Linked DNA regions of Oreochromis niloticus. The main gene of each other region encodes a partner of the protein of the gene in region 4 in a complex. Links are inferred from orthologs where the notes say so. Each region holds a gene or a part of one and is shown on either strand. Other genes may lie near its edges.

Region 1 (8,494 bases), about 7.3 Mb from region 4:
ATAGTTAGTACTCTCACAGCTTTCTCTGTAAAAATCAAATGGAATCAGTTTTTAAACAATGTTTGTTCTGTATATAGTTTCCACTTGCTTCTGATTTAATTAAAAACAACCGAAATAATATAAGTTTACAGTAAAATCCAACAGCTCCTGTAAACTCTGTAATCACAGTCATTTCTTGGAGATGAACAGGGTTTGGTTTCTAAGCAGTGCCTCCTGATTTATCGTCAGTGCCTAAACTAAATCAGACAGGACACTACAGTGATGTTTACAAAGGCTGACAACTCATAAAACTGAGCGTTAAACAAACAGAAATTAGCAGGTTACAGTGGACAAGCTTAAATTAACACTGGTATTTAAGCTGTAAACTTGAACTTGAGTGTCCAGAACACAGATGCACTTTACGCCACGTCCCACAACCATCTTTTAAAGTTATGCCAGTAACTGCGATATAATAGACATAATCTAATACGTTACTGTCCTAAAGAGACAACACGTGAAATGAATTATGCTAAATAACAAAAAGAAATGAAGTCCAAATTTTTAAAAGACCACTACATGTTAGTTGGGTTTTTTGTGGTAAAACTGATTAGTTATAAAATCATCAGAGACTTTGTGGTACAACTTGAGTCCATGTCAGAATTTATTATGTTTAATATTGCACTTTAAATTTTTATCGCATGGAACATATTTCTGTCATTTTAACCAAATTAACACAAGCATATTGACACACTGAGTTGTTATGTCAGCATAACGAAAGCCGTAATCATCCTGGCCTCTTATAGCTCAATCTGGTCAATAAAAGCCATTCAAAGTTAGCCTGTAGTTTTTAAAGCGTTTAAATAATTCAAGTCAAAGCTTGGTGTTGTTACCACTATGTTATTGTTTAGATTTAGCTTTAGGATCTTTGGTTTTCTGAGTTTGAACAGCAAACTGCCAGCTGTCCGAGTTAAAAAGGACTGCTGTTCGGGAAAACTAAGATAAATATAATAAATAATTAATGAAATTATCTTGAATGTGGAATCTGGAATTACTAATGGAGCCCTGTTTCAATTCTTCAAACCTGGCCAACAAACCAGTAGTTTATTCCTAGTGTGATAAAATAGACAGCATATTGGTCAAACTGCCTGCTATTTATAATGTTAAGAGATAAACATCCACAGTTGTTAAGGAGGTAGCAACAGTGGAGGAGAAATCACAGGAGAGGCTCATGTGAACAAATAAAAAATCAAATCAAATAAAAGTAAAGAAAATAATCAGTCATTGATGATTTGACTATTTATTTAGTTTGCTGTAGCACATCTCATGGCAAGCTTTTGGTGCTTTTACCATGGGCACCATCACTGCACCAGAGCCATATTGATGGGAAAGGGGCAACTGGAGTCTTTGTAGGACAGGCTTTGGGTGAAAACTGAAGCAAATAGTGGGGGTGGGGGTGTGTGGTGATGTGATGTGATGATCTCTGTAGGTTTTGCTAAATGGATCACCTCTATTACTTTTACTGGGTAATTTTTGGAATAAGAAAAGTCTTATTCATATTTAGGTCCACATTTAACAACAGGAAGAGAAACTGGATCCAGCATGCAGCTAAAAAAAGCCATCAGGCAGACAAAACAGCTACAGGATGGTAACTAATTTGAATAAAATCTGACTATATCACAAATGAAAACACCACGGATGTGTCACTGTTTGGGTGTTTCTGACTTTACTGAATTTACAAAAAGGTTAAAAATGGCCTGTAACTCAACTAGCTATAGAGCTGTAATGGGCTGTAAAAAAAGAAAAGAAAAAAAAAGGCCAGTGCAGCCAAACAGGATGACTTTGTAATGCAGACAAGGCGAGTGTGCATGGTTTCTGTAGTTTTCACTGTATTTACTCTAGGGAGCGTGGTGGAGAATGAAAAGGAAGTCATCAAGAATGGTGTCGTGTTATGAAAGTGGTTGTTTATCCAAGCCGGAGGTTTGAATCACGATCACTTACAACACTTTCTTACTGACAAATTCATTTCCCATTTCCTGTTATACCACACCAAAGTAAGGTGGTTAAAGTAAGGAGTGTCTTGTAGTTACTGTAGAGACGTTTGTTTTGTTTTTGTTAAAACAGCAGACTGACCAAATGTGGAAAAACTGACAGATTTTGCTAAAACTAAACTTTTTTTTTTCTTAAGACAGGTCAGGCTATTCATCATCTACTGTGGTTCAGTTTTCAGAATGTACATGCCCTTGTAAGGGTAAAATTTCAGTTTGTTTTCGTTGGTTATTATGAAATTGTTTCACTGTAAGTTGCTGCCGCAGTTTGCTGTTGAGAGGTCTCACTGCTCCAGTTTCTTTTTACACTTTATCTATGAATGCATCGGGAGTAATTTTAGACTAAAGATTTAAAGGTGTAATGGCAAAAATCATACTTTGACACTCAGTCCAATGGAAATCAATTTGTTATTTCAACCTTCAATTTTATGTTCCACCCTTTCCCTTCTAAGATACCATAAAATATTGATTATCCTGGGATATCATAGCACTTAATTTCTCACTTACCCTTTCAACTGTATATTTTCACTTTTATTTCTAATTATGGTTGATAGGAAATGTGTAGTTTATGTGTAGCATTAGCTTTAGGCAGAGTGTTTTCTCCCCAGAGGGGAAACTCTGGAGGTGTCTTGTTCATGGCCTGTACATGTCAAAAGCGTAAAACTGTAAATCACTACCAAAGAACAAGTTGTGCAGATTTTTGTAGAATATGAAAATGGTGGAAAGTGATTCTCAAAATACTAAATTTTCTTATATACATGTTTCTCAATTATTTGAGTTGAACAAGAAATGTGCAGCTCAAAAAGCACTTCTGCATGGAAACCCTAAAGACTGCTCGACAAAACAGCAACATTAATAACAAATAACAATAAATAAGAGTTTTAATTGTTTTGGGGACAAAAGGGAGTGATGAGAGTGCTTGTTTTAACACACAACCCACAGTGCAACCAAACCCAGTGTCATCAGGTATTTCAGGTCTTTCAACATCAGACACCAGTACCCAGGCAACCTAGCCATGGGTGATCAGTCTCCAGCTTGTGTCTGGGTGGCTTAAGTCATCTGCAGGTCTCCCCTTTTGGTCCACTGCCATCTTGATGTCTTCTCAGGAGCACTAACCCTTTATTGACCGGCCCTTCAAATTTACCTGTAAAATGGGCCCGCCGGTGGGCCCATGGTCAATAAATTAATGATGTTCAGTCCCTTGATCCTGAGCAACTTCATGGGCTAGTTACTAGTACATTGAGGTACAATGGGTCTTCCATGCCTTGCTTCACCTGTAAGCTACTTGGCAAGGAGCCTCTTCCATCTGGTCTTCTCAGGGAATGGTCAACTCTAGCAGGACCACCAACTGCCTCAGTGAGTCTGATATTAGCACCATATCAGGCCTGAGGTTGGTCAGGGCTATGGTGTCTCCCCAGGTCAACTTTCTGCCAGTCCCAGGTTGCTGCAAGAAGACCCACTGCTGGGTCCATGTGCTGTCGTGACTTCTCTCTAGCACTGACAAAAGCAATAGAGCACTTTTGATTTGCATCGTGTACACAGACCTTGCCGTTGCACACCAACCATACTGCTGGAGCAAGTTTTTCCACCACCCCTGCTCTGATCTCTTACTTGCCCAACTGGCTGCTTCCCTTCCCCTTTTTCATATTGAGGTCTTGAGGTACTGCCAAGACCTGCCTGACCTACTGAAACTACAGCCCAGGTCTTTTGTCTGATCAGCAGAATACTATCCTATGACAAAAGTAACCCTCAGGTTTTGGGGGGTGGGGGGGTTGGCAGTTAGAAACCTCACACTGAACACATCTCAGCATTTGTAATGTGCACTGCATTGTTGCACACAGACAGGCCTACTCTTTGTACTACAGATAGATTGCCAGGATTTGTAACCTTATTAAATCAATCGAATAATGTGCAATTTCACCAATATGTCTTTTACTGTCATAACAAAGAGATATTATTATCTTAACTATCTAACCTAAAGTCACGCAGCCTCACTCTTGAGTGTGGTATAGAAGGGTTTAAAAGAAGAAAGCTGTAAAAGTGACCTTTATTAAAAAATTCTTCCTCAGATTAAATTTATGACAAAACTCTCATTACTAGACATTACTTGCACCACAGTGCTTCCTGGTGCAAATTGCAATGCAAAGTCTAGCCTCAGTTTTTACACTTTGCAAAGGTGTGTTGTGTTGTGTTTTGTTGTGTTTAGTTGTGCCTAGTGCCGACGTGGGACAGTTTCCAATTTCGTTGTACTATTGTACTAGATATGACTGTGCAATGACAATAAAGGGTTATCTTATCTTATCTAATCTTAGTCGATCATAGTGGAACATTTAGCAGGCCAGTCCTGGCTTGCACCCCTGCACTAATCTAAAGCTAGTGATTTCAGATGGATTAATTTTGAAACGAGCTTAACTAGGTTTCATATAATCTAAGTTCACACTACGTAATCTATTAGACTGCTGAGTATCAGTGATTAATAGCTCCTAAATGACCTATAATGTATTTATAAATTATTATCAGTCACATAAAGCACTATAAATGATGCCTCGTGAGGAAGTACCACTTTTACTGAGGCAAAGGTGATCAAAGAAAAACAAACCCGTTCAACTAAAATCCACCTCTCCTCTAAAATATGACTTCAAAGCTGCCCTCTTTGAAGGTTCCACATTTATTTGACTGCGGTTTCAACTATTTGAATCCTTCTTTGACAAGCAAATATTATGCACAGACGAGAAGGAACACGGCGTTTGTTTGAAGCCAGGCACTTCTAAAAAAAAAAGAAAGAAGCCAAATGTTGACTGTAAGCAGGTCTGAATTGATTTTTGTGTCATTTTAATCAACGCCGACACCCCCGGCAGAGTCGCACACTTAGTACGGACCTGTACGGTTCGCTCGTGCGCTGATGCTTCAGCGTTATCGGTTTATTTTAGCTTCAGTATTTTCCCCCACTCCCTTTACGTTTCTCCGTCACAGACTTTTTTGTTTTTATTCGGGAGTATGAGCTAGCCTTCCCGTCAGCTGAGTTTGGATATTAGTGTCCGTTTTCCCCCCTCCCGCTTGCCGCTTCTTCGCTCTCTTCACTGTATCTGATGCCTCTTGTTTCCTCCAGTAACCCATGTCTATGTGCATCCCGCCTCCCTGCGCTCTCAATATATGGTGCAAGTCAAAATGTCCAAATCGCCCGTAGACCCTCTGTCTGCCGTGGAAACCGGCTCCCAGTCGCACTATTTCCAGGTAAATCCGCTCACTTTACTCCCATTTCTCTCGCTTCTAACTCCATCTTCACCGACAAAAGAGGAAAATGGTTAATTAGTGTGTCAGATGCTACTTGTTGTTCAATCTGAGGCGTCGCGTTTTGGCAGCGAGCTACTTTTTTCCGTTTTCCCTTTTTTTCACCTCCGCCTTTTCTGAAACTGCAGATTGATGCTTGAGCCGGTGAACGGTCATGTATCCTTATATTATGGCTTTTAAACACAGATACACAGTTTAACACCTCCTTGGGTGTCGATGCATTTGCTGTTTTGATCTCAACTCGCAGATCAGGCCTTTGCATTGATGCTTTATTTATTTCAGTGCATTTTCCCCCTCCGTGCTACGCTTCATCCACTCCAGTGCAGGGAAACCAGCACACACCAGTAGCATTATGGGATTTTCGTGCAGGATTTTATTGGTGCAAATGTGCAGGCCGTGACTCTGGACTCACCTGTAGCCTGAATCTGAAAGGCTTTCTCCTCAGTTTGAGGGAGCTCTCTGCATTAATCAAACCACCATGTGAAGCTGTGAAAGGCAGCCCTGAAATATGTGTGATTCTGGCAGTTACAGCTTGCTTTGGTGCAAAGCAGCTATTTTGCACTTAATCACCATACATTTTGGCTTTTGCAGTCCTTAAAAGCCAGCAGTAGATTTATTTTTTGTATGAATAATCTAAATCTGCAAAATAATTAGCAACTAAAGCACTGAAATAAATATAGTCAGCCTTGCTGCCAGTATTACTGCTAGAGAGTTGTTGCATCCCGTTATCTATCGCCATCCATCTACCCATTCCCCTTTTTATCTCTTCACCTGTGTGCATCTCTTTCCTCCTCACAGCTGCCCAGGAAGTTGCCTAAGCGCAAGAGCCGCTTCAAACGCTCAGATGGCAGCACATCCTCCGACACTACGTCTAGCTTCATCAAACGACAGGTAAAAGCTCCTTTTGTGCCTGGATTGTCTCACTGCAGGCCCATTATTGCACACTGATTGTTAGTGGATGGAAAAAGCTGTAGGTTCTGTGGAAAATGTAGGTCATGGTGTGCTCTAAATGTTGGAATAAAGCTATAAGGTGCTTGAAGTTTGTCATCAGAGCCAATGTCTCCGCAGTGTCTGGTTGGCAGTAATGCAACTCTTGCATATTTCTTTTTTTAGGGTATAGGCTGTTGTTGCCGTTGGTGGAGGTGGGGATGGGGTTGTTAAAATACCTGCATGATTCTCTACTTATTTTGTTCATATCAGTGTGACAGTTTCTGCTCTGCATCTTCATCCACAGCGCTTTTTCCTCAGTTGCAGAGGTTGCTTTGCCCAGTAGAGGGTAGCAAAATGCTTGACAGAAAAAATAAGTTCAACCAAAATCCCAACACAGCTCAGTATTTTTTTTAATTAATGTTTTCAGGTCAGACATGTGTGGAAGACTCAGATGGAGATTTAGTGTTATTTAAGAAAGAAGGTATCTGTAATTGGAAACAAAAGGATTCTCCTTGTGATGTTGCTGCATAGCTATTTTGAATGGATTGTAGATATGGGCAAGGGGTGGGAAAAATATTTTCTCAGATGATTATATTGACTTTAAGTGAAAGGCCAAATATTGAACAGCTGAACTGTAACATGAATTATTTTAAACTGTTAATCTGGTAAATGGTGTTTCAGAAACCGAGAAATTTGTTCAAAAAAAAAAGAAAAAATGTACAAATCGTCTTAAATATGAAGTCATTGTAATGTATTGGGTTATTTAGCGTAACAGATCGTCGCCACTCAGCAAAACTATCAAATTTGGCAGATATGAGAAAACCAGATGTTTAGCTTGTATCTGCGATGTGCTGGAGTTAATCATAGAAAAGTGTTTTTGCAAAAAAAATGGTGAGCACCCTCTTTTGAAATCAAATTAAAAAGCTTCTTACAGTAAAGTTGAATATCGTTAAGGTGCTCTGTTGTTCGGTTTTGTGGAACGTCGAGGGTTGTAATCACATGGACCATGTGTTGGCTCTTCCCATGTATTTTCAAGTCAGTTGTGATGTGCAATTTTGGAATTTGGATTTAAGCTGCATTAACAGAAACAAAAAACCCAATTCCAAAAATGTTGGGATGCTTTCTAAAATGTAAATGAAACAGAATGCAATGATTTGCAAAACTCATAAAACCCACATTTATTTGCAATAAACGAAGTGTAACGAAACAATCAAATCAAATGTGTAAAACTGAGAAAATGTAGCATTTTGAGAAAAATACTAGCTTGAAATTGACGACAGCAAGACCTGTCAAAGTTGGGACAGGGCCATGTTTACCACTCAGTAGCATCCCCTCTTCTTTTAACAGTCCGTAAACATCTTGGAACGGAGAAGTCCAGTTGCTGGACCTTTGGGAGGGGAGTGTTGACCCATTTTTGTCTGATAGAGGATCCTAGCTGCTCAACCATCCTGGTTTATCTTTATTGTATTCTTTGGTTCATAATGTGCTAAATGCTTTAAGTTGGTGAAAGGTCTGGACTGCAGCTCAGCACCTGGATTCTTTTACTCGAAGCAATGCTGTTGTAAATCCATGTAGTATGTGGTGTAGCATTGTCTTGCTGAGAGTCTTAAAAATAAATAAATAAATAAATTCAAATTTTGATTTATTACAGCCAAACAGTTTTCCACTTTGTTTCAGTCCTTTTTAAGCTTTTTAAGCCATTTTTAGCTTTGAGAGAAGATGGTAGGGTTTCTGGATGGTGTTCATATATGGCTGCATCTCTGTATGATCACACTTTAACCTGTATTTGGGGATAGTATAGAGAACTGCGTTCAAACAGCGATTTCTGGAAGTGTTCAGGCCTGAATATCACAGGGTCTCAGTATTGATTTTCAGCGATGTCCCTTGCACACAGAGATTTCTCCAAAAATCTGTTTCTTTTGATATTATAGATGATGAGATACTCAAAGTCTTGGAAATTTTACATTGAAGAACATGTTTCTTTTTTTTTTTTTTTGCATATTGGTGAAACTCTGCCTCTCTAACATACTTTTCATACCCAGTCATATTACTGATGTATTTGTGGTTAAGCCTGATTAGTTGCAAAATGTTTCTCCAGCTGTTTCTTTGAGTACCATTTACTTTTTTAACATTTTGCTACCCCCACCCCAATGTTTTTAAGACATGTTGCTGCAATTAAATTCAAAAGGAGCTAATAATTTTTCTTAAAATATTTCCATTTTCTATCTTCAATTGTGAATAAGGATTTA
Region 2 (7,742 bases), on a different chromosome or scaffold from region 4:
ATGGACCCTCAGAGACTTGCACTTGCACTTGAATTGAATTTTTACAACCTTTTAAGGTGTTTCAGCTCCTTTTTTAGGGGATACTCTTTGACTATACAATCTCCATGAAGTATCACAGAAATGTGGAAGTTTGCATCAATAGATGTGAGTTAAAACTGCATGATGAACTTCAGCAAACAGCTAAAAAGGAGAAAAACCAGAGCAGTAAGACTTTCTGGTGAGTTTTGACGTCAGTCAAAGGTTCAGCAGAAAACAAACACATGCACTCTCAGTGGGGATAGGTGAAAAAAAAGGTTCACAGTTCTTATCTTTTATTATTCTGAGCTGATTCACAAAAGCCACTAAAGAGTTTTAGAGTAGTAGCACAGGGTGAACAAATAGATTAAAAATAAAGGCATCTTTCAGGATTTCAGATATTTGATTTCCAGTTAACTTAGCATATCTTCATCGTGGCTCCATCAAAAAAGTATTGGCAGAAGAAGTGAACATTCTTATTGTAAGACTTCATGAAGATGTAAAAATTCTAAAGGAAGACCAGTAGCTAATTTTTTTTAAATGGTCCATTCAGGAACTATAAAATAAGCCATAGTGCCTTTATAGCCACACTAACTGTCCTCTTAAAATGATGTCCCCAACAATGCACTGCTTAAACAACAAGTCCTGAAAAACAGATGCTTTATTTCTTTAGATTTGGCACAGAGACTATCAGACAGCATGAAAAAAAAACATTTTGAGATTAAACTTTTCTAAAGATCTTGAATATTATGAATATATTTTTTGGTCAGATTCAGTATACGAGACCTTTATTGTCAGTGTGGAAGCAACGTCACATGATGTATAGGAACAGAAGTGTTGGACCACACCGCTTAATCTTTCAATTAGAGCAAAGCAAAGTGGATATTTTTAGGGACCACAGCAACTCAGACACAAAGTGGGAGATCAAATAAAGTTAGTGGCTCCCTAACCCCTCTGGTGCATAGTGTGCAAAAGTGGCCAACCATCTGCTGACAGAGTTCCAAATGTCCTCTGTCTTTAACATCAGCAGAAAAACTGTGCACCATGTGCTTCATGGCATGGGTGTCCATGGCTAAGTAGCTTCTGGTGCACAGTTTTTGTCATAAACCTGTAAAATTGAACATAAGAATATTGCACATCAGGACCGTACATGAAGTACAGTTTAGTGGTGTCGCAGCTGTTGTGAAGAATTTGAGTTTCAATCTGTTTGTGGATGCTTTTATAGCACTAAAGCACCTGCCTGCTGCAAGGAACTTGAACAAATGGTGTCCAGCATGTGTCGTGTCTTTGTGAAGTTGCTCGGCACTCTTCAAGCAGCGAGTGATGCAGAGATGTTCCAGAGATGGCTGGCAACAATGTTTTGTGCTGTTTTCAAAACACACTGGAGTGCCTTTTTGTCAGCTTTGGTGCTGCTACCCTACCAGGCTGTCATGCAGCTTGTGATCGCAGTCTGTAAAATTTGGCAAGCAATTATGGGGGAAAGTTGGCTCTCTTTGACTTTTTTAATAAATAAAGGTGTCGTCATCCCAGGAAAGGTGCTCAGTGATGTGAACCCCCCAGAAACCAGAAGTGGAGGGCTCTTTTCAGGTCTCTGTATTGATGTATAGAGGTGTCTGTGGTTTTCTTTGTAGTCTTTGTTTGGTGGCATAATTGGTGTGTTCGTGTCCATGATTTCCTCAGTAAATGCATGCTAATAATTCTTTATTACTGAGGTGGGAGTACTATATAATAACGTTTTTATTTTGAATATATCAAAATACTAGCTGACAAGAGAGTAGCAGAAGCGGAATATTCCAGCATCCAAAGCACACTGCCAAAAAAAGAATTTCTAAAAGAGAAGAAACTAAGAACTGTGACCTGCTGCCTGAGTCGAGGTCAGCAGAACACTTTTGCAGCATTTTAAAGAGAAAGACAAACCAGCAAAGAGGGTTTTAAAAAATGTTTGAACAGTGGAACAGCAACAGTTCTTCATAGATCTGCACTGTCCTGCATGTCAAAGACAATTTAATCTGTCATCAAAAGCAAAGGCAGAACAGGATGCAAATTAATGAAAAAAATAAAAGATTTAAGTAATTAAAGTTGTACTGTTACACTGAGTTCCTACTGTGGAGCCTGCACTTATTACAGTAAATCTAGTTAAATCAAATCAAATCAAATCATGAGACTGCAAAAGTTTCCCCTCAACTCATGTGTCATGCTTCTGTTACTGGCTTCCATCTAATGTCTGTCCAACAGATACATTTAATATCGGGGCCTTAGGCTAAATAACGCCATCAAAAAGTCAAATCTGAGCAATTGATAAGTGGCAAAAACTTTGCTTTCACTTTCGGTCTAAAACAATGTGCCTTAATAAACCAGGTGCAAGCTACCTGCTCAGCATCAAATGACAAGTCGGGAAATAGCTAGCTGAAGAGCTGGTTAAGGCATGGATGTTTTTAAGTTAGAGGACAGCAAAGATAAAAGGTATTGTTTACTGGATGTGTACTCATGGGATGGTTTGCCTATGCATCTGCCCACAAGTGATGATTTGCATTTAGCTGTCCACTCATTTATGTCTTTTCTGTTGGTGTTACAACTCCAAGGGACAAAAAAATGATGTTTAGTTTGATGATCTTGAAAGCTTTAAGTTAATTATTTATAACTTTTTTTACTAGATACATTAAAACTGTGAGATGATAGTGATTCATTTTTTAAAATATGTCTGTCTTTATTTAGCTAGGTAATGCAAAATTTGGGCACATCAGACAGTCTTACCTGCTCCTGGATCAGCATTATATCCCAAAGTTTATTTACTTATTTATTTTTACCCAAGGCCACATCAACATCATTCTCCTCTTCTTCAAATCATAGAGACGTCAGGCATTGAGCCTCCCTGCTGCTACAACAAACTAGCTGTCAAATTGAACTATTCTCACCCCCCATTATAGCCCCGCGGGACCTTTGATTCCTGGATCCCGGTGCGGGGACCAGTGGCTCAGCTTGACAGCCTATCCACACCCACAGCATCCATCGCTGCGGCTCGCTTCTCTCCATCAATCCATAAATGAGGGTGGGGTCTGTTCAGTGGGGCGTGGATCTCGGCTTCCAGCTGGAGTCTGTTGAGTTGAGCGCACACAAGGAAAAGAATCGACGTCAAGACAGAAAGAGAAACACATAAAACCCGAGAGTAGTTAGAAGACGCTGCTTTCAAAATAAAAGCCTGCCTGCGCTAGGTCGACTGATTTTATAGCCATTAGTTTCTACTGTCTTTCACAAATATAAATTTAACAAAACTGCTACCATCTATTAGTTTTAGCCTAACACTCAACTAGTGAAACCCAGTGTTTTGCATTGTTTACACAGTGCAAACAATGAAAAACAATATTGTATATATAACTTGATGTTGATAGGTAAGTTGTTTTAAGTCTCGGGGAACAGTTCTTCATCTGTTTCAGGACTCATTGTTCTTTTTTCAGCTGAGTGTAATTCCTTATGGCCAGTGTTGGGGTTATTGCTCCAAAAATGTGACATATTACATGTTAATTACATACTCTAAAAAAAAAAAAGCCCAAGTAACACACTACACCGAACATGGCTTATGACTGGTTGTATGTTTGGGCCTATTGTCCTACTGCAGAGTAAACCCAGGACCAATCAGGTGCCTGGAGTCAAAAGTCCAGCAACACTTTGCATTACTGATGCCTTTTAGCATTTTGCTAACCCTGAAGGAACACAGGGGTCAAAGTTCAAAGGATCAGATGTCCCTGAAGAAACCCTTAGGTACCCTGCTGTATGTTCAGGCTGTTGGTGGGCTGTTTGCAAAAGTTGGTTCTGCCAGAGGTCTCTTACTGTGAAAAGGGAGTTCTGTCTCCCCACCACTGCCAAATGTATTTCTCTCTAATATTCTAGAATCTTTACCTTATTATACATAACAAACGCAGTTTTGAACATGTGCTATACGGAATAAACATCTAAAACTTTCAAACAGGTAAACATAATAATACTTGTAGTGATGCTTCTTACCTATTCAAAGAATTTTGTTTTGAAAGCAGGATAACCGGATGTATCTGTACGTCACACCCATAACTTGACTCTTGTGTAAAAGCCTGGTGCGACAGTGTGTAACGCTATAGGCTGGAAGGAGGCAGCTGTTGCCATTATATTATCAACCAGCTTAGACGCATCAGCGGCTTCATTCTCTCCGAAGGAAAAAAAAATAAAAGATGAGTCGATCGACACCATCGTAAACACACTAAACTAGAAACTGAAAATAGATTTTTAAAAAGTTGAATCAAATGGTACAGAAAAGTAGTATGTCCAGGACGCCTTCGACCTCAACCCAGGAGATCCAAATGGACATGTTCGACCATCACCCACACACACAGGTAAGACCAAGAAACGGGAAGAGGGTAAAGCGTAAATATTATGGAAGTATTATGTTAAAAATCCCATGTTGACTATTTTGAATTGATGCTCTATATGGTGCTGGTGAACATTAAAGCTGCTGCACTTCTGAAGATTAACAGGTTGTTTCCAATTAAGTCGCTTAATTTGCCTTCGGGGTGCCGAGATGCTCGTGTACGCTGCACTGATGAATTTAGTCAAATTAATGATTTTAAGAAGAAGTGAAATGGATGAAATATACTAGTTTTTCTTCACTACGGATTTTGATTTATAGCTACATCCTTGTTCTGTGTTTAATTTTTGCTGGCGTTAATAAGTCTGTGCTATGTAACCGTGATGTGACGCTTGTTTATATGCCGTCTGACCAGCGGGTTCCCAGGAAAACCACGCCTTTGTTTAATTGATGTCTAATTATCGAGTAACATGTTGAATTGACCAGCTTCCTTGGGGGGGGGGGATTTAATAATTTCCATAAATGAAAGAGCGACTTGAGTTTTTCATAGGTGGAGTTGGTTTATGTTGTTGACATTTTTTCCCATTTTGTAACCCCCCCCCCCCCCCCACACACACACACACACCCCACAAACAAATAAACAAACAAACAAACAAAAAACATCAAATAAAATAATAATAATAACTCATTTATAGCCTTTATCTCCCCATGGTGTCACCTGTTTTACAGCCACAAATACACAGTGGCTCTTAGGAAGTGACATGACGTTGTGGGCATGTTTAGACATAAATGGATGACCAAAAAAAGATGAGAATATCTAGAACAAACACACCCACGCTGGGCTCAGTCATTATCTCTCTGGAGAAGGGGAAAAAAACAGAACACCTCACCATCACAGACAACCAGCGCTTCAAACCCTGCCAAGTCCCGCTCTCTCCTCTTTACTCCCACTTCTCCCCCTCAGCTCTCCATCCACTTTGAATGTGCCACTATGCCCATCCTGCTCTCGCCTTCTCACCTCATGTGAGATGTCTGTTTTTAGAAATCAGATCTTTATCTGCTGAGAGGCTGTGGTGAGAAGCAGATGGGCACGGTGCTTGTGCCAGGCAGATTAGATGTAAAGTTCATGTTGACCTGCAGCGGGATATGCTGTTATATGCACTTGTGTTTCTGCTGTAGAGAGAGAAGAAGAAAAAAAAACACATTTCTAATATCCTGCAGGAAATGGCCAGAGTTCTCTCACCAGCCACTTCTTTAACACAGAAGAAGAAATGAACTGTGTGCCAAGAAATTATCCAGTTTCTGAACCTGAGGGCAGCTTAGATTAAAGATTGTGTGTGCTGACCGCTGTCACATTGCAGATCAGTTGGGCTCTCTGAGCACAATATTGTATAGAGGGTTCTGGTTAAAAGAATGAAATATGTTTATGATACCTTTCAGTGTGCCACCCTCCACCCTTTATACTCCCTGCCTTCCTGCTTTCACAAACAGCACCCTCCTTAATTATACACTTAATCTGGGAGGATGTTTACCAGCAGGAAGCTTCCCATCCCACTTCCTCTGGCATTTCTCTGCTCTTTAGTGACAGGAATCAGGTCCATCATGGCTCCAATCATAGAGATCCCTCTAAAAACATGCATGCTAATGCATGTATGCACCTGATATCACACATGCTGTGAGATGTGATCAAATTTACCAGCTTAATTGCTGACATATTTGGTGGCACAGGAGCTTCTCCAGCATAACAAACAATGGGATCGGGCTGTGAGGCTACTTTTGGGTTCAATATTAACTTTATTGTCCCCAATGAGAAATTGATTTGTGGCATGTCCACTCATCAAACAATGCATACATTGTATTATTAGAAAAAAAAGAAGCTGGACCGGTAAAATCTTACCGGTCTGGTCCTATTGAAAGACAGATTACCGTACCAAGGAATGATACAAAACATTAGAACGGATTCTATAAAACTTTATTTAAAAAAGGGGTCAACAACATTAAAAACATTAAAAACTCTGAATTTCCTTAAAAAGTACAGCTGTTTTTGTTGTAGCAGCAAAATGTGACTCAAAGGACAGAACATTACCAATAAAAACACATAACCATGACAGTATATTTGCACACAGGTCAAGAACCATGGATTTTGTCTTCCATCACTAGGAAAAGGAAGAGTGTTTAGCTCGTTTCAGTGGATATGCGGCTGCTGTTATAAGACAGATGTGAAACTGAGACTGTCCAACCAAAATATACATCTTACTACTGCCTGGATATCAAAGCACAGTCACCTCTTAATGTTAGATGATAACTCACACAAAATCAAGAGGATTTATTAAACTACCCATTATACATTTGAGTGGATTGGCGGTTAGGTATACTGGATGCATATGCTATTTGAAATGCTGTCTGCAATATAGTTCTTCATGACCCCGATTAAGGCCACAAGCTGACATGCTAAGGTATTAAAGTTGTTCCTCATCACACAATTATTTCTGCCGCTTCAGCCTCTTTAGGCGATGAGCCTTCTCCATGCACCTTGGAAGTAGATGAAGTTGTGCCAGAAATTTCCTTTGTGTTTTCACTATGTGGGATTTGCCAGTTGGACGCTCTAAGACTAACAGCCAAGCAAACGGTTGATGTGAGCAGCACCGAGATTAAATGTTATCAGCTGATGCACAGAGACTGCGGGCTGCAGAGATGTGGCAGAGCAGGAGCAAGACCCATGCATGGAACAGAGGGGGCATTAATGGAAATACCGATAAAGTCAGATAAACTGTGAAAGGGATGAGCTGATGTGAACGTGGGTTGCAAAGCGGCTTACAGAAGAACAGCAACTGTAAGCAGAGTAAAGCACCCTGAATAGCACATCCTATATGCCTTTTACTGATGTTAAGTTAAATATCCGAATACAAACCAACATCTGTTTGATATTTTTGCGTGACAAAATATTTTCATGGACGCACACACACATCTTCAGAGAAGTCATGATTCTTGGGTTCTTTCAGTCAGTGTAGGTGGACAGATTTGCCAGCAGTGATGTCATCCTCTATTTTTAAATCTGAGCAGCACAAAGTACAGCTGCCCATCCACATCATTGACAATATATTGTATCAACACTTCATATTTCATTTCAATATTAAAACCCACTACCCATGTTAGCCGAACATTGGAACACAGTAATTGTTGTGGGTTCATCAGAGGTTGTCTTTTTTTCTGTGGAACATCCTGTGGTGTATTCATCCTATCCCATCAAAAATACTATATCAAGCATACCACAGAAGGCTCTGTAGATAATTTTTTGCACTGCTGGAGGCTTAAGATTGATTGAAATGGATTCCTGAGCTGGATTTTTTGGAGAGGAGCATGTAACAGATGTGTTCCCTTTTATTTGTTA
Region 3 (8,078 bases), on a different chromosome or scaffold from region 4:
TTGGTCCAAATACTGTTGAACATCACCTCCTGTGGACCTCATTGTGTCCTGATATAACAGTATACATAACTGGTCTAAAATATGAATCTGTAGTTTTCAGCAAGATAATTTTTTTGTTTCAGAAAGTCTTGGTACACGTGAGACACTCAGAGTGCATCCACCACCATGGCCATCTCCTTTTTTTGCATCAGTGTTTATAGAAATTGCTCCCACATAACTTCCCCTTTAAAATGCAAATGCACATGACACCACTAGAGGGCAATAATGAATAACAACTTCAGAGCTCTCTAAAGTCTTTTGAGAATAGCATTCTTCAGCAGCAGCATGGTTTTACTGGAGACACTATACCATGAGTGCGAGATTGCAAAGTTCATACCGAAGGATATTATGTAGATGCAGTTCCTTTCTTTCAGTTTACCTGGTACAAACTACCTTGTTTTACTAAATGACTCATTTATACAGGTGAAATGATAAGAAAAGTTAGCTTTCTACAATTCAACAAACAATAAAAAGTAGAAATTATGAATTAATCTTTACATCTGTCACTAAAAATATCCTGACGTTGCATCTGTTATAATGCAAGGTTTTTTTGGGTTGGATTTATCGGCTACACATCCATGATGCAAATCTCCCCTTTCACTGCATCTTAAAAGTGTTCCACTGAACTGAGATTTGGTGACCATGCAGGACAATAGAGTGCAGAGAACTAATAATCAAGTTCAATAAACCAGTTTTAGATGATCTGAGATTTGTGACATGGCACATCATTTTGACTCATCAGTAAGGCAATTATTTCTATTCTTCTGTTGTCCAGTTTTGCTGAGGCCATGTGAATTGTGGCATGTTCTTAGCCGGTGTGTTCTTTTGTTGCTTCACCCCATTTCCTTCAAGGTTCTTCAGAGATGTCATTCAGAGATCCTCCTCTGCATACCTTGCTTGATTGATTTAATGTCGCCTTACTATCAGCACACAGCAGTCTGGCCATTCTCCTGTGACCTCTGACATCAACAAGGCCTTTTCACCCAGAGAACTCCAGCTCACTGGATATTTTCACTTTGTTAGATCACTATTTGTAATCCCTAGAGGTGGTTGTGTGGGAATATCCCAGTAAATCAGCATTTCTGAAATACTCAGACCAGCCTGTCTAGCACCAACAACCATACCACATTCAAAGTAACGTAAGTCTGAAAGGTGTACCTTTCAAAGTGTCCAGTGTGTGTTGTTAGTGTAAGTCAGTATTACCTTACTTACTAGGATTCTATTATTTTTCCTCGTTTTTGTGGTCATTTGATAAATAAAAGTTCATTTCAAGCCTGAAAACAGACGAAAGATACATTTAATACAAACCTGGTGATTTTCCTTTGGTATGCATGAAATTTTGTAATCTGAAAGTTTGTTGCTTTCTTTTCTCAAAATAAACTTAGCCCAAAAAGTATGGAATTCTTTGTTTGGTCAGTTATTTCCTTATTGTAACAATGCTTCTTGGTAATAAATCTCATAGTGTTTGAAAGCCTGTTTATTTCCCCTTAAATGATGCCGCATTTGTAAGGAGACAAAGGAGTTTGCAAAGAAAAGCGTCTGGACTTCTTTGAGTTGCTTTCAACTCAAAGAAGTCCAGACGCTTTTCTTTGCAAACTCCTTTGACTACGATGACCTGGATGACTGAGAACCTTCACAGACATTTGTAAGGAGAATTCATTTGTGGGTTGCGCCCATGAGAAACTTGCCAAATCTTCTCTACAAATGCCAAAAACCTTCTTGTGTGATTGCTATCTGCTATATCTTATTCTGAGCTTCTTGTACCCCATGTGCTGCCAATCATGACTGACTGGTGTCTGATTAGCAGCACCTTTGAGGATGGACCCTGCTACAGTGGTCGATTGGTGTCTGCTCCAAGCATGCCACGGTTGACTAATGTGGATAGGGCCTGTGCCACAGGGCAACTTCAAGCTGGTGTTCTGCAAAACCAAGTTGCAGCATTTTTTTTGAATGCGCTCAGTACCATCTCCAAATAGAAGAGCATATTCCACATAAGAGGGGATTTGTGAGACAGGCCACTACATGGGTGTCCCAAGAAGACAACACCACCCTGTCAGGATTTAGGAACTGTAAATAGTCTTCTACAGCTTTGAAATCAAAGTTTCCAGTACAATATGGCTGACGGCTCTCTACCCAGAAAATCTGGAACATACCATAAAATGGAATCCCATATCTCCACAGTCTGGGACTGAACTCTATCCTCCAAGATGACACTCACCCCCACAGAGCAGGATTTATCAGAGACTATCACCAAAATTTGGGAATGGAGAGGAAGGAATGGCCTGCCTGCAGTCCTGACCTCAACCCCACTGAAGAATCAGACGCCATCCCATACCGGTGTGCGACCAAGCCGATGACCAGCATGAGGAGGAGGTGCCAAGCTGTTGTGGCTGTGTATGGTTCTTTCACATTGCACTGTCCCTGTTTGTTAACTGGATGAACTGTTAAATGGCCAATATGTCTCGTTCCTTCAGACTTTAATCATCCAATCCAATAAACAACACCAAACAAGACTCAATATTAGAATAAGCTTTTTTTTTTCATGGTGCAACCTCCATACTCAACCCAGCTGCTCAACCCACAAATGCATTTTTCTTACAAATGTGGCATCGTGGAAGGGGAAATAAACAGGCTTTCCAACAGTATAAGATTTATTGCCAGGAAGCATTGTTACAACAAAGAAATAATCGACCAAACAAAGATTTTCTTACTGCCAAGTGCCAAGTTTATTTTAGAAACAATATATTCGCATTTTAGACTACTGGCTGAACAAGTATGTCATCAAATATGAAACTGAGAGGTATTTTTTAATTTAATTAATTAATTTATTGTATTTACAATGACATATTTATAAAAAAGAGCTCATTCAATAATGAAATAGTCAACAGGTGCAGCACCTTTTTTTTTTTTTTCATCCGCCAGCTATGCTGCCTGTACTTAACTGCCAATACGAATTATTCAGCTGTCAGCTTTTGGCTCACTGCTCCAATTTTCAGGTTTCCTGCACCAAATGATAACATGATGATATATATATGTTTTTAGGATATCCCAGTTTAACTGGATAACTCCATTTCTTTATTACATGAGAAGCAAATATGGAAAAAAAAAATTTCAGAGAAGTATATTTAACATTTTCTTGGTGCAGGGGTATGTCCAGTATCCATCTGGATACTGAGTTAAGCATGTGGCAGCTTTGACTGCCTCCTATAAATGAGAGTCAGCTGGACTATGCTGTGTTGTTGGAGCCTCTTAATGTAATTATTTGACAAACAGGCCTGTTGTAGCAACAATTGTCCAACTAGTTTATTATTAGCATTAATTAGCATGTGTGTGCATTTAAACCAAACCAGTCAGTCTATGAACTGCTAATCAAGATTCTAAGTAACTAGTACTCCACCCTCTTGTCCACATATGACATGATTTTTGCTGCATCCATTTTTTTATATACAGCCTATGTGGTGGCACCATACTCCTTTCACCCAGTGCTATTAGCATAGAAAGAAAAAATGAATACAGCTTTTTGGTCAGAAAAAATGAAGCCAACGCAAAGTGCCTTAAACCTGCATTCTATGTGAAGGCCACCAGATGGCGATAGTTGTGGTTGCAAAAAGACATTCAGTCCTTTAGTATAAGTCTGTGGGAAAACGGCTCTTGACCTGTGAAACACTTTCCTCATGAGTTTATGGTCTCAGTCACTCATTTTGGATCATATTGAATTGAAAAAAAAAAAAGTAAAATCTTGGTTGTACTTCAAAATGGAAGACTGTGGTATGAAGCCACAGGCTCACTGGCTAACGACTACTTAATCTCAGCTTGGTAGCCCATGAGCCCTCTGTTTCAGTCACATTTGCCTCTCCTCATTACATCTGGTGCTATGCTTATTATTTAGATAAAGGGAACTAGCTCTAAAAAAGTAATTTAATCTAACTACAGCTGCAACAATCAAGTAATGCACATAATAACGAATCAGTCTTTGTGATCCAATTTTTTTACTCTTCTTTGTATTAACCTCATTTTTATTTTCTTTGTTTTGTTTTTTATCACTGTTAAAATTTCTGTTAAAACTTCGCACTCTCACAGTATTAGACCCTCACTATGCACCTGTGGCACTTTTACTTTAACAATGTGGTTTATTTCTTTTAGACTGTACTATTTTTACTCTTTATCGTGCTGCTGCAATACAATAATTTAAATTGAATAAATTAATATCTTTAATAATCATAATCTTTAATAAATTAAGGATGATTGAAGTATCTATCATGTATATGATTCTGAAGTGAGCCATTAGAAATGAATAATTTTTACTTTAAATACTTGTACTGAGACATTAATCATATTTTACTATATGTATTTGGGCTGCATGTATGGGTTTTTTTGTTTGTTTGTTTGTTTTTGTATTCATTTCTGATAAAATAGTCTTATTTCCTCTGTTTTCCCTCTCTTTGTCCTCCCCACCACCACCACCACCTCCACCACCCTGTGGCACCTCTACTTTGGTGCCAATACCTGTGAGCGGCCACATCAGGTTTATATTACAATAAAAACATCATTTTGTTGATTTAAACACCTCCCAGTAGCTATGACCTGATTTCTCTCACTTGTTCAGTTCTGATCATCAAAGTTACTCTGAATTGACGCTTTTCAGTCGTGTTCATGCCGACTTTGTGTTTGGATGCTGCTATTCATTTCCATCCCTTTGCGCTGTGAGGAGGCAGAGAGGTGTTGGCGTTGGTTGAGGGCTCACGGAGCAGGAGAGCTCTCTCAGCTAGTGTAGGAAGGAGCGAACTGATGAGGGGGCTTTGTGATGCTGAAGGCTATAATATCCGACGACTCACATCATCACTATCATCTTGAACTCGCGAAAAACTACAGCCATTTTTCGCACAAGCTCCTCCTTTAACTCGACTCAAACTTGAAGAGCAGCATTAAACTCTTCAACACTACTGTGTAAAAATGCGCTTTTGTCTCGGGCAGAGTTGGAGCATCTGTACAACCCGAGAGGTTTTACCGACTATCCGCGTTTCTCAAATGGTGTGATGGTCGTCAACATTAGCCCAACCAACAGAGCAGGAACACCTCCGGACAAACACATGGACGCTCTGGAACATCCCATGTTACAAGTGAGTTAATTCATTTTAATTAAAGCTGACAGTTCCTGTTAAACTGCCACTTTAAACCTTGGCACTGCACGCTGAGAGACGTCAAACAGCTCACCTGCTCTCAACCTGTCCGCTTCCTTTGCGCGTGCTGGTGAGCGCAGGTGGCCTCATTAAAGTTTTGATTGAGGTTCGTAAGTCGCGAGGGCGAATCTTTATTTTTTATTAACTTGTTTTTTGTTTGTTTTGTTTAGGTTTTTTTTTTTTAACTTATTTGTGGGTCAGGTTTGATATTTGGATATTCACTTTCAAGGACTGAAAATAGTTTGACATGTCTTATTAGTTTAATATCACGACGTTTTGAAGTAAGCTAGCCTGGATGCTCGTCAAATTAACTCGTACTTCCGGAAGTATTTCAATTGTAAAGCCAGTGGTAGTAATTACATATTTACGAGTGTAATGCAAAAAGTACTCTGTTCGAAGTACTGCTGTAAAAACGAAAGTAACTAAGTACTAGGTGCTTAGCATGTATGGGTGTTTTGGCTGTTTTAGTGGCAGGTAAGCGGCATTTAAGTTTAAAGCTAGTGTAAAGTCTCAAAGAAAAACATAGTAATTTCAGTATCAACAACATTGTAATGTCTAAAACATCTTATAAAGGCTTTTGTCTATTCCTGCAGGTAAAATAATGAAAACTGGATAATGTATTGTATTGCTCTGTGGAGTACAGTGCATTTATTCAACACCTATAGTGATATTTCTGTTTGGTCCTAGGGTATTTGTATGAGGGTATGGACTGAGGGGGACAAAAAAAGGCAGATTTGAAATTATTTTCTTGCATTTCGTGCATTACTTTTCCAGGATGTCACTTTTGAAAAATAAGCCGTCTACCTCTGTGATTACCTTCATCTCCTGAAACACGTCATAACATTACACCTTAAGTGAAAACACTCAATCTGTAATAAGTAAGAAACAGTGGAAATCAGTGCTTGGCTGATACTGGCTATAATACTGGCTAAATGCCATTGGTTTGAAGTCTTATTGCAGAATATTAGGACCTTATATTTGAGTTAGTCTTTTTGGTATAAAAAATTATTTTATGTTGGAAATGACTCACCAACTCCACTCAACTAGGCAGTGAAATTCATCAGTGAAGACGGAGGCTGTAATGTTGGAAGCAGAACTGGTCACTCAGATAACTTTAAATTGCTCTATTTGCTTTCATAATCACTGATAATCTTTGTCAGACACAACCTTCTTGAGATACCACCCTGTACTTGGAGAGGCAAATGCTTTATCTGACATTTCATAGAGAAAACATATTGATAATGAAATTGATCTAACCACAGTTGTTGCATTTGTTGGTAAACATTAATGACTTATTATGAGTCTCATATTATTTTCTGCTGAATGCATTTTTGCACATGAACTTAAATCTGTTACAGGGAAAATGTATTAGTTTGCATGCTCTTGTGTATATTGTTTTAAGATTTAAGATTTTAAGATTCCTCATAAACAGTTTTATCCTGTCTTTTTTTGGGGGGGCTCTGAAGTCTCAAAGCAAAGGAGCTCGGAGAAAAGGTCGTTTTAAAGGCTCAGATGGAAGCACCTCGTCCGACACCACAACCAACAGCCTTGTTCGCCAGGTAAGGGTGGTGATTTGAATTTTTGTTGATCTCGCCTATCGGTGTCTTATTTTTGTCATCTCTAAACTATCTGTTGGTGCCTAAAGCCCTAGACCAAAATAGGTACAACAAAGATGTATCTGACCACGATAAAAGAGTACCATGAAGTATAATTCAAGTTTCTGGCTGCAGTTACTTCCCGTTGGAATCTAACACTTGTGTGTTTGTATAAATGCCTGACAGTAAATGCAAACTGGTGTAAGGGCTCAGGCTCAGTCATCATCATCCATCAGCAGTAAGATGTGCATTGCGATGAAAGCCCTCTGTAAACACTGCTGGGTACAGTATGTTAAATGGAAGCCTCTCATCTGACATGCATCTTCTGTGCACAGAGTGCAGAGCGACACTGTGGCCTGTTATAAAGCAGACCCTGTGAGGTACACACTCAGCGAGTCTGGTCTTTGTTGAGCAGACCTGCAAAGGGACAGAATGGGCTGAGTTAAGGATGAACACTCCTGCTTAAATGTTTCTGCCTTTTTTGGAGGAGGCACAGATCGCCTCGTCTTTGGCACGGCAGCAGCAGAGCGACGGGAAGCTGGAGGAGGTCAGATCAAAATTGCACCTCCTAGGCTGCTGTCTACTTCATCTCACAGCCACAGAGAAGTTCTCAATGAGGCGCTGCAGCTCAACTGAAGCTGCTCAGGGAGAAATTCCCTGATTTTTTATTTTCCCACCACCCTTGGGAGCTAATGTCCATTCCCACAGTCTTCTCCCCAAATGAGGAGTTCCCCTTCAGTCAGAGTCATCAGTTGGCTGTGCTGCGAATGACTGTCAGTCTGCATCATCATGTTAGGGAAATGAGAGGGTATTTGAGTGAGAGACAGAAAAGAGATGGTGCGGAGCAAAGGAATGATGTTTTTTGGGAGTCAGAGAGTCTCTTTCATGCAGAGCAAAAATATCTTCTTTGAGATATTTGCTGCAAGAGGCCCCCAGAAATAGCAGACCTTCCAGTAACTTCACCTCTGTTTAGATAACAGTGTAAATACTGTTATTCAGTTATGTTTTCATGACAGCATTTTGTTCTGACCTTATTTCTCTTTGCCTCATGCTCAGTCATACTTACAGATATATGAGAGTGTACTCTCTAAGTAGCTAAACTCACACCACCACTCACACTCATGATCTCAGTGCCTTTTAATCAGCCTGTCATTTGATGTTGTCTTCACTGTTATTATTTAAGCATACACAACTGGATTTAGGATTTGGAAACCATCTCTCGGCAGGGAACATAACAACCCAGTGCCCGTCTGAGGTGCTGAAC
Region 4 (7,955 bases):
CACATAAAGAGGGACAGTAAGTGATTATAATGTAACCTGCTTGATAAATATGAATTCTTGATTATTATTTTTACTTCTTATTTTGTCCAGCAGGTGGCGCTGTCTCTGCATGTTTGGTGTCGGATTGTTTTCTTCATGTGTGACGACAGTCCGGAATAAGGAAGGACAAAATTCATTTGTCGATCTTTGCTCTAAACAAAGTGAGAGCACACTTTCAACCTGAATGCAAAGCAGAAACAGACGTTTTCCTCACTCTCACAGCGTAAGTTACCGCGTTGCTAGCTTTGTTTTTACGACATTTCGTGTCGTGGATTTCCTGCCTTGCAGTGCTAGCTAACTGCTATATTTTGACAGAGCCTTGCTGGTGATCCTTCAGTCGTCGTGCCAGGTGTTTTGCCTTTGGGGAAATGTCGTGTGGTTGGGGAAGATCCTGGATGTTTGCTGCAGCCGCAGTGGTGACCGTGTTTCTGCTGGATGTTGTCGTTTTTGCTCGAGCTAAGGTAAAAGACCTGCTGGTACACAGAGGATCTGTGTTTGTGGATTAAATCTCATCAAGTATTGCTTTGTTTATGGGAAGATGTTCAGTAAACTGTGCTCAGTTTTATTCAGTGAAATATAAAGATTGTATAGTTAAATAACGAAATGTAAAATAATAGTTCAAGGGCGATATTGCCAGCACAATTATGCAATTACATCTACTTAAAGAATACCTGTTTATGTTAGTCTTACATTAGTTTATCTAAATAATGATTATGTAAATACCCCTGAACTACTGTCAGGACACTCGTGGATTTCTTAGCCAAATTGGGGATTGTAGTCTTAAAGAACTAGAAGTAGGAATACACTGCGAGGTTGCAGACTAAGACAAACTCCAGTTCTGCAGAAGAGACTCCTTCAAAGCAGACTGAAGTATGCCAAGGTCAACCTGGAGAATGAGTGTGCATAGAAAGTGAGTCCTTTAGTCAGATGAGACAAAAGGGAAAAGGTGTACAACTCACTGGGAATCTCATTAAGGTAGAAGGTATCATAAAAGATGGATATGTGAAGTGTTTGAAAGAAAACGTCAAGCAGTCAGCAGCAAAACTGGGTCTGGGTTTTGCTTTATTTTCCAACACGATAATGACCCAAAACATACATCACTCCTGTGAAGAACTGCCTCCAAAAGACCATCGAATTTGGAGGCGTTTGAGAAATTGTCGTGGGATCACTCAGGAGGTGTGAGTGAGACTGGTTGGAAATTGCAAATGTATAGTATCGTAGGCTAATAGTTTTGGCTCTGGTAGTTTTTGGCTAATGTGAAATAATTTTGTTTCTGTGCCCAAATTAAAATTATGTAAGCATCCAAAAAGAAAAGCTGTGTTTTAAAACTTCTTGCACTGTTAAATACTCCAAAAGATAAAACTTCCATAGAGGATCTCATAATTTAGTGCTCATCTGTGTGTTTGTGCCATTTGACTTAGAATAACTGGAGTATATGTCAGAGTGTTTGTTTGTTTAACTGCTTGTGTTAATAATAGAGAGACGTCTCAAGTAGTGCTGTAGGGGAAAGATGGGCTGAATTTGGGGCCACTTTCACAAAAGTTCCTTAATTCTTGCAGAGCTTTGAGGATGTCCGCTGCAAATGCATCTGCCCGCCCTACAGAAACATTACCGGTCACATCTATAACAGAAATTTCTCCCAGAAAGATTGGTAAGAAAAATATTTTATTTAGACTTTTATGGATTTTTAAAGAAAAGGCGTTACTCTTTCACTGCGCTGCTGTTTTTAGGGGTTTTCTTTCTCTTAGCTCAGTAGAAATGACAAACGTTTTAATGTTTTTCACAGCAACTGCCTGCATGTAGTGGAGCCCATGCCTGTTCCTGGCCATGATGTGGAAGCCTACTGTCTGCTTTGTGAGTGCAAGTATGAAGAACGAAGCAGCAACACAATTAAGGTACAACTGACTTTCCTTCGGATATGACGACATATCTTCCTCAGCTTTTATTCCCAAGCAAAGCGGGTCATTGTGATTGTTTGTCATATAAGATGAGTCGTTGAAAATATTGCAAAGCCTTTCTAGTTTATTGTTTTGTTTTGGGGTTTTTTAAAAGAAAAGAATTTATAGTTTGCAAAGGTTGTATGTTGGATTCAGTGAGTTACTCTTGCTAAATATGACAGGTGACCATCATCATTTACCTGTCGGTTGTGGGCGCCCTGCTGCTCTACATGCTCTTCCTGCTACTGGTTGATCCTCTTATCCGCAAGCATGACCCATACACCCAGCCGCTGCACAATGAGGAAGACTCTGAGGTAACCATTCAAAAAAACAGCATCCAAGCACACTCCAATGTATTTATTTGATTTCTGTGGAGTTTGAAGTTCTTGATTTCAAACCATCTCTGGTTTGTGTTCAGGAGATGCGTCCGCAGCCAGAGAGCAGCAGCCAGGCCAGAGGAAACACGGTGCTGGAGCGGGTTGAGGGAGCACAGCAGCGCTGGAAAAAGCAGGTCCAGGAGCAGCGCAAAACAGTCTTTGACCGCCACAAGTTGTTAAGTTAAACCTTAAGGCTGACCTCAACACCAAGTTTAGAGTACGTAACCTTCCTGGGCCGTCTGATATTACACCAGTGGCACTATCACAAAACCTCTTTGTCATTGCTGTGCACCGCATCTGCCGAATTAATATTTAAACATCACACATCTAACACGACAATGTTTAAACTTGGTTTATTTACTAGATGTAAAAACTTGAGATGGGCAAAGCTGCAGTTTAAAGAAAACTGATGCTTGAAGCACTCCTGATGACCTAATGTCAAATCTTTTCAGCAAATTGGACATCAGTGCAGCTTTGAATGTCTTAATAAAATAATAACTTTTCCCATTTTGCACTGGCTGTCAAAAGCATTTCAGCTTATTGTGTGTTAATATTTATAATTTTTTTCCTTCAAGCATAATTTATGATGTGATCTCAGATAGAATAAGCTAAGTTAATTAGGACTACTCTGTCTATACAGTCTCAATGCTGTTGCTATTGTTTTGGCACTAATTATTTATTGGTATTTAAATCTGGATGAATTTAATGTATGATTGTTGATTTTGGACTTTGTATATTCACATTTGAGCAGCGCCCCACTCTGTGCCTTTCCTGTCTCTCTCTTTGTGTGGGAGATCGTGTTTCTCCAAACTCTACAGCTTTCTAAAAATAACAGACGGGAAGGTCAACTAAGAAATTTCACCCATTGTTAACTAGTGCTTGCATTTGTACTCATTTTATTTTTAAATTTTCTGACTGAACCCAGCAGCACATCTGTGTGTTTTTGTTTTTTTCTGCAGCACAATGTGACGAAACACTCTTTTCATGCAAAGAGAGAAAAAGAAAAGGAGGCATTTAGCAGAGCTTTAAAAGGACTCTCAGAAAAATCACAGGAGAATGCCCTAAACCACTAAAGCTGATGATAATGTGGTTTAGTGTGGCAGAATCCAGATGCTTCGTGGCTTTGAAAGGGCCTTGTGTGCATCATTATCTGTCAGTGAATTCCTGCTCGCATCCTATTACTGAAGCTCCCAGTTGGGAAATTATTAGTACAGCAAAAACAGGCACACTGGCTTGCATTACTGTACCTCATACACCGTATGAACTACTGAAGTTTATTGGTTTCTAATTGATTTGTTTTTTTGTTTTGTTTTTTGATTAGTTGATTTGTAATTATAGTTTAATATCCCTGCTGTCAATGTTTTATATGCATCTCTGGCCTAAGTGTGCTATAGAACCATATGTTTAGCTTGACGTGAAATAATAAAAGGAAATTCCTCAAAAAAAAAGGTTTTGGAATTTTTTTTTCTCCTTCAATTACTTTTCTCCTTTCAGATTTGCTGTTCCTGTTAATGGCGCTAGAGGGCGACAAAGTACACAGTAAGTGCGCGTTCTTCTTGCACTGGTCTGTGGTGCTTGAAGATTGAAGTCTTACATGTTGAGTGGTGTTCAGCTGCTGGGAAAACAGTCACCTGTGGCATGTTTAAGATCATGTTGCCAGTTTGAGAAGGTGTTTTAAAATGTGTAACTACAAACGTCCTGGTTTGGGAATTACACGTTTTAAAACAGCGCCGCTTCTACCGACTGTTTTAAGGGCTGGTGATAGTCGGTTGGTTGACTTTCATTTAAATTGTTTGGTTATGAACAACATTAACACTAAATCATTTGGTCACAGTGAATGTTACAGAGTATTGAGTCCATCATTCAGTGTTGAATATTATTCTGATGAAGTTTTGCAGTTTTCTTTTTAGCTATATCACAAACAGCAAACCCTGATTTAGCATTTACACGCACCACACAATCAATGAACGGTCTGTAAGGCACCATAATGGGCTGTATGGAAACGTGAAGATTTTATTGTTTAATCTGAGGCGCTTACAGCGGTTAGGGTGTACTTACGGATACCTATTGTTCATTATTCCTTTAAATACCAGCCTTCAGTTATTATTTAGAAATGCATAGAGCTGCATTATAGTGTTTTTTTTTTTTTAATGATTACATGTCTCTGTACTTCTTATGAATCCTAAATAAGAGGTTGACAGTAAAGTAAACCACACATATACAGACACATACACAAACAAAATCACACAAAGAGACACAGTCCCCCCCCCTCACTCTACCCTTATAATCATCCCCAAGCATGGCCTGCTGGTGGTTCATAATCTAAATTTAAACTATACCAAGGCCAACTGCTCCTCCAGTCACTCTGGGCTCCTGCTATTTTTCCTGGACGTGGTGGGCTTATTTTGTCAGAGGCCCTCAGCCAGGCAGAGAGGCCTGTGGCTCTGCCCGGGTGAGACCGACAAAGGAGCGAGGAGGAGGAGAAGGAGAAGAAAGAGGGTGCCAGGGGAGCCTGAGGAGGATCTGCTTTCACAAAGGGGAGACACACTGGACCTGAGTTTGGGATTTTACAATAAACATTAACTTTCACAGGAATTTGGAGCTTGTCTAAGGTGAAGGCATCAAGATGGCGTCGAACACAGAAGCGGCCAAGCCGATCATCATGAATGAAGAGGAGCTGAAGAGGAAGCAGAGGGAGAAGCTTAAGAAACTACAGGCCACTGGAGGAAACCCTCGACCCGCGAGATCTCTCTTCCTGTTCAACCTCAAAAATCCCTTCCGCAAAGCCTGCATCAACATAGTGGAGTGGAAGTATCCTTTAGATCTTTCAGTCACACACACCTCAGACAACTGTGTGTATTTTAGAAGAAATTTCAGTTTAAATATTTCTTTGAAATTCAAGGATATCAAGGCATTATACATGGCATTATACAGTCAGCGCAGCATGGAGCCCCGGTTTAAAAATACTGACAGCAGGGCAGTGAATTAATAGCCTTGTTCACCTGTGGTCAGCATGCTCAAGCCAGGTCTCTTCCAAATGTGTGATGAGATGATCCCTGAAGTGTTAAGACTTTTGTAATGTTTCTGATCTGTATCAAAGTCAAGTTTGCAGCCTGTGGAGTTTCACCTGCTGTTAACCTGAGATCACCTGACAAAAGCATCAGGCAAAAAAACAATTAACAAGGTAGTCTTATTCAACTCGCTCCTTATTTTTTTTAAATGTCCAAATAGTGACTTCAGCGTCCAAGTAGGAGAAGATGAAAGAGCACAACGCGGGCTTTTGATAGCTCTTGTGGCCCCTGTAGGCAATTTTCTGCTTTTAGCCTCATGGTCATTCCTGGATCCAGACTGGAATGAGTTGATCATACCAATCCAGTGATAGGAACCTCTTGTTCACAGCGTTTAAATGCAGATACACAGACTTTGAGTTTAAGAGTGACCACATGTTAAAACGTGATGATGTGTAAAGATCTGTTCTATTTGACATTTCGTTCTGGTATGTTGGACCACGTCATAAGTCATTCCACCGCCACAGTTTAATCACATTGGTATGTGGTTTGGTAACACAGGGCTTAGGTGCTGTATAGAGAGCCAAATTATGGAAAATTACTAAAAAGTCTGAAGACCCAAAAAAAAAACTGTCCTCGTACACGGATCTCAAAATTTAAAGAGCCACTTTTTTCTTTATTTCTTTCCTGGTTAACAGTCTGTGTTCAAATGGTTTGGTCATATTCTTGGGCTCTGCAGCTGTCCCATGGCATCACACTGAGACATCATGCTGACCTGGCAGGGGAATTCTCACAGAGAGCCCCCTATGGGTGAGAATGAAGCAGCACAGCAGGCAAGATTACATTAAAGTGGAACACTTTGCTGGCTACCCAGGGGGGCTGCTTCAGGGATGATGTTTCAGGCAGCATTTAAAGGCACTAGTCAGTGCCTACAGAGCTGCTGCAGAGCTGGATTTGTTACACTGAAACACAAACGTAAAATAACTTAGTCAGATAAATAAACTGACCGTTTTATTCTTGTGAAAGATTAAGTCATCCTCCCACTCTCACCCATTAACATCGTAACATACTAAACATAAGACAATAGACCTTTGTGGATATTTTGGGGGGGCAAACTCTGATTTTTGTTGCTGTTTGTTGTTGTCGTTGTCACGATCCTGAGCATCCCCTTCCAGAACCTTTGAGATCATCATCTTATTGACCATTTTTGCAAACTGTGTAGCTTTGGCTGTGTTCCTGCCCATGCCTGAAGACGACACCAACAACACCAACTTAAATTTGGTAAATAAACATTGAGCCTTTTTTTTTTGTTGCATGTCACATGACTGTATGAGAGGCCACTGTGGTGAATGATGACTATATCGATATTTCATTTTCATAATATTCATGATACATAAAAGAATTGAAACACTAAATTAATCTCGTGTTTTGGGGCTCATGAAGGCTCAGTTTTACCATCACTAGTAGATGACTGTGCAGCTCTGATCAGCAAGTGAGTGTAGTAATATTAATTTACTACAGCTTTGAATCAGTGACAAGCTGTGGGATGCCAAACGCCATTTGAATGTGTCCAGAAACAACTCGGTTCTTTATTTGGAGCCCCATCTGTGTCTGCAGAGGAACGAGTCATCGAGTGTCTCGTTCTCAAGTAGTGTAAAAAAGCTGGTGGCAGGTGGACGATGCTGATGTATGTCCAGAAAGATATTATGTTTCAGCTTCATAGGTGTGTGTTTTAAAGCTGTGAAACTGTTGGTAGTGTATTACAGGTCACAGACTATAAAGATAAACAAGATGCACATGTGAGCAAAACATATATCTGATCATGCACCGTGCATATATTTGGCCAGTGCTTATTGGATGTGTCCTATTGACACCAATGTTATGATAAATAGATCACTTTCTCTTAGAGGTTTGGCATTTAGCACAAATGTCAGCCATCGGTTACTTTCCTACATTAAGTCAATAATACTCCACATATATCTTTGGGTTAAAGTTCATGTCAGTCTTTGTGATTTATAGCCATTTTACTTTTATTAGGAACCCAAATCTGAGCTGATCTCTTCATTGGCCCTCTTCCTAAATCCTCCTTAGTTCTCACGGTGCCATTCCTCAGGTGAAAATGCAAGAAGAGATGGACCAACCCCCTCTTTCACTGTTAGAAGTAGGTCAGCCTGAGTACCGTCACTCCACTGATGCAGGTGATACAGGAGAATCCGCCAATGTTGCCTCGTGTAACCACAGCCACGTATTCCAATAATATGATAGCTTGTAATGTTGATGCGCAGTAGCCTAGCAGGGCAGCTTTCCTTGGTGAATTCGTTTTACTCGGGGTAACACTGAGTAAAAGCCTATAAATGTGTGTACACGCGTTAATGGATGCAGGGTCAGTGATTAGGACCAGTGTTTGCTGGTTCAGCTAGAGATTATTGAGCTGATTTAGGGAAAGGGAAATAAACTGCATGTCAGTTACAGTACATACCTCAAATGAATTCTCTGTATATAGTAACCATTGTCCTTAATGTAAATATGTAAGAAAAATTGTGTATGTTTCTGTTCTGTGTCCTGTGTACTGTTTGTTTGTTTGTTTGTTTGTA

Evidence for each region.
Region 1: cacna1sb (region 4) and voltage-dependent L-type calcium channel subunit beta-3 share a complex: the UniProt entries of both Homo sapiens proteins name them as parts of the calcium channel complex. The link is inferred for Oreochromis niloticus from reciprocal best matches to the Homo sapiens genes CACNA1S and CACNB3.
Region 2: cacna1sb (region 4) and cacnb1 share a complex: the UniProt entries of both Homo sapiens proteins name them as parts of the calcium channel complex. The link is inferred for Oreochromis niloticus from reciprocal best matches to the Homo sapiens genes CACNA1S and CACNB1.
Region 3: cacna1sb (region 4) and cacnb2a share a complex: the UniProt entries of both Homo sapiens proteins name them as parts of the calcium channel complex. The link is inferred for Oreochromis niloticus from reciprocal best matches to the Homo sapiens genes CACNA1S and CACNB2.

What each region holds. Positions count from the first base shown.
Region 1 is NC_031984.2:12,750,409-12,758,902, forward strand, and holds the start of voltage-dependent L-type calcium channel subunit beta-3, read left to right. Parts: upstream 1-4,890; 5' UTR 4,891-5,177; coding exon 5,178-5,258; intron 5,259-6,113; coding exon 6,114-6,206; intron 6,207-8,494. UniProt on the Homo sapiens protein: Regulatory subunit of the voltage-gated calcium channel that gives rise to L-type calcium currents. Increases CACNA1B peak calcium current and shifts the voltage dependencies of channel activation and inactivation.
Region 2 is NC_031969.2:27,484,885-27,492,626, forward strand, and holds the start of cacnb1 (voltage-dependent L-type calcium channel subunit beta-1), read left to right. Parts: upstream 1-4,103; 5' UTR 4,104-4,289; coding exon 4,290-4,379; intron 4,380-7,742. UniProt on the Homo sapiens protein: Regulatory subunit of L-type calcium channels. Regulates the activity of L-type calcium channels that contain CACNA1A as pore-forming subunit.
Region 3 is NC_031974.2:16,013,267-16,021,344, forward strand, and holds the start of cacnb2a (voltage-dependent L-type calcium channel subunit beta-2a), read left to right. Parts: upstream 1-4,699; 5' UTR 4,700-5,075; coding exon 5,076-5,159; intron 5,160-6,685; coding exon 6,686-6,778; intron 6,779-8,078. UniProt on the Homo sapiens protein: Beta subunit of voltage-dependent calcium channels which contributes to the function of the calcium channel by increasing peak calcium current. Plays a role in shifting voltage dependencies of activation and inactivation of the channel.
Region 4 is NC_031984.2:20,027,690-20,035,644, forward strand, and holds the start of cacna1sb (calcium channel, voltage-dependent, L type, alpha 1S subunit, b), read left to right. Parts: upstream 1-4,708; 5' UTR 4,709-4,979; coding exon 4,980-5,164; intron 5,165-6,536; coding exon 6,537-6,642; intron 6,643-7,955. Other genes in the region: proton-transporting V-type ATPase complex assembly regulator TMEM9, read left to right, coding at 408-500, 1,599-1,690, 1,826-1,934, 2,159-2,290, 2,395-2,538. UniProt on the Homo sapiens protein: Pore-forming, alpha-1S subunit of the voltage-gated calcium channel that gives rise to L-type calcium currents in skeletal muscle.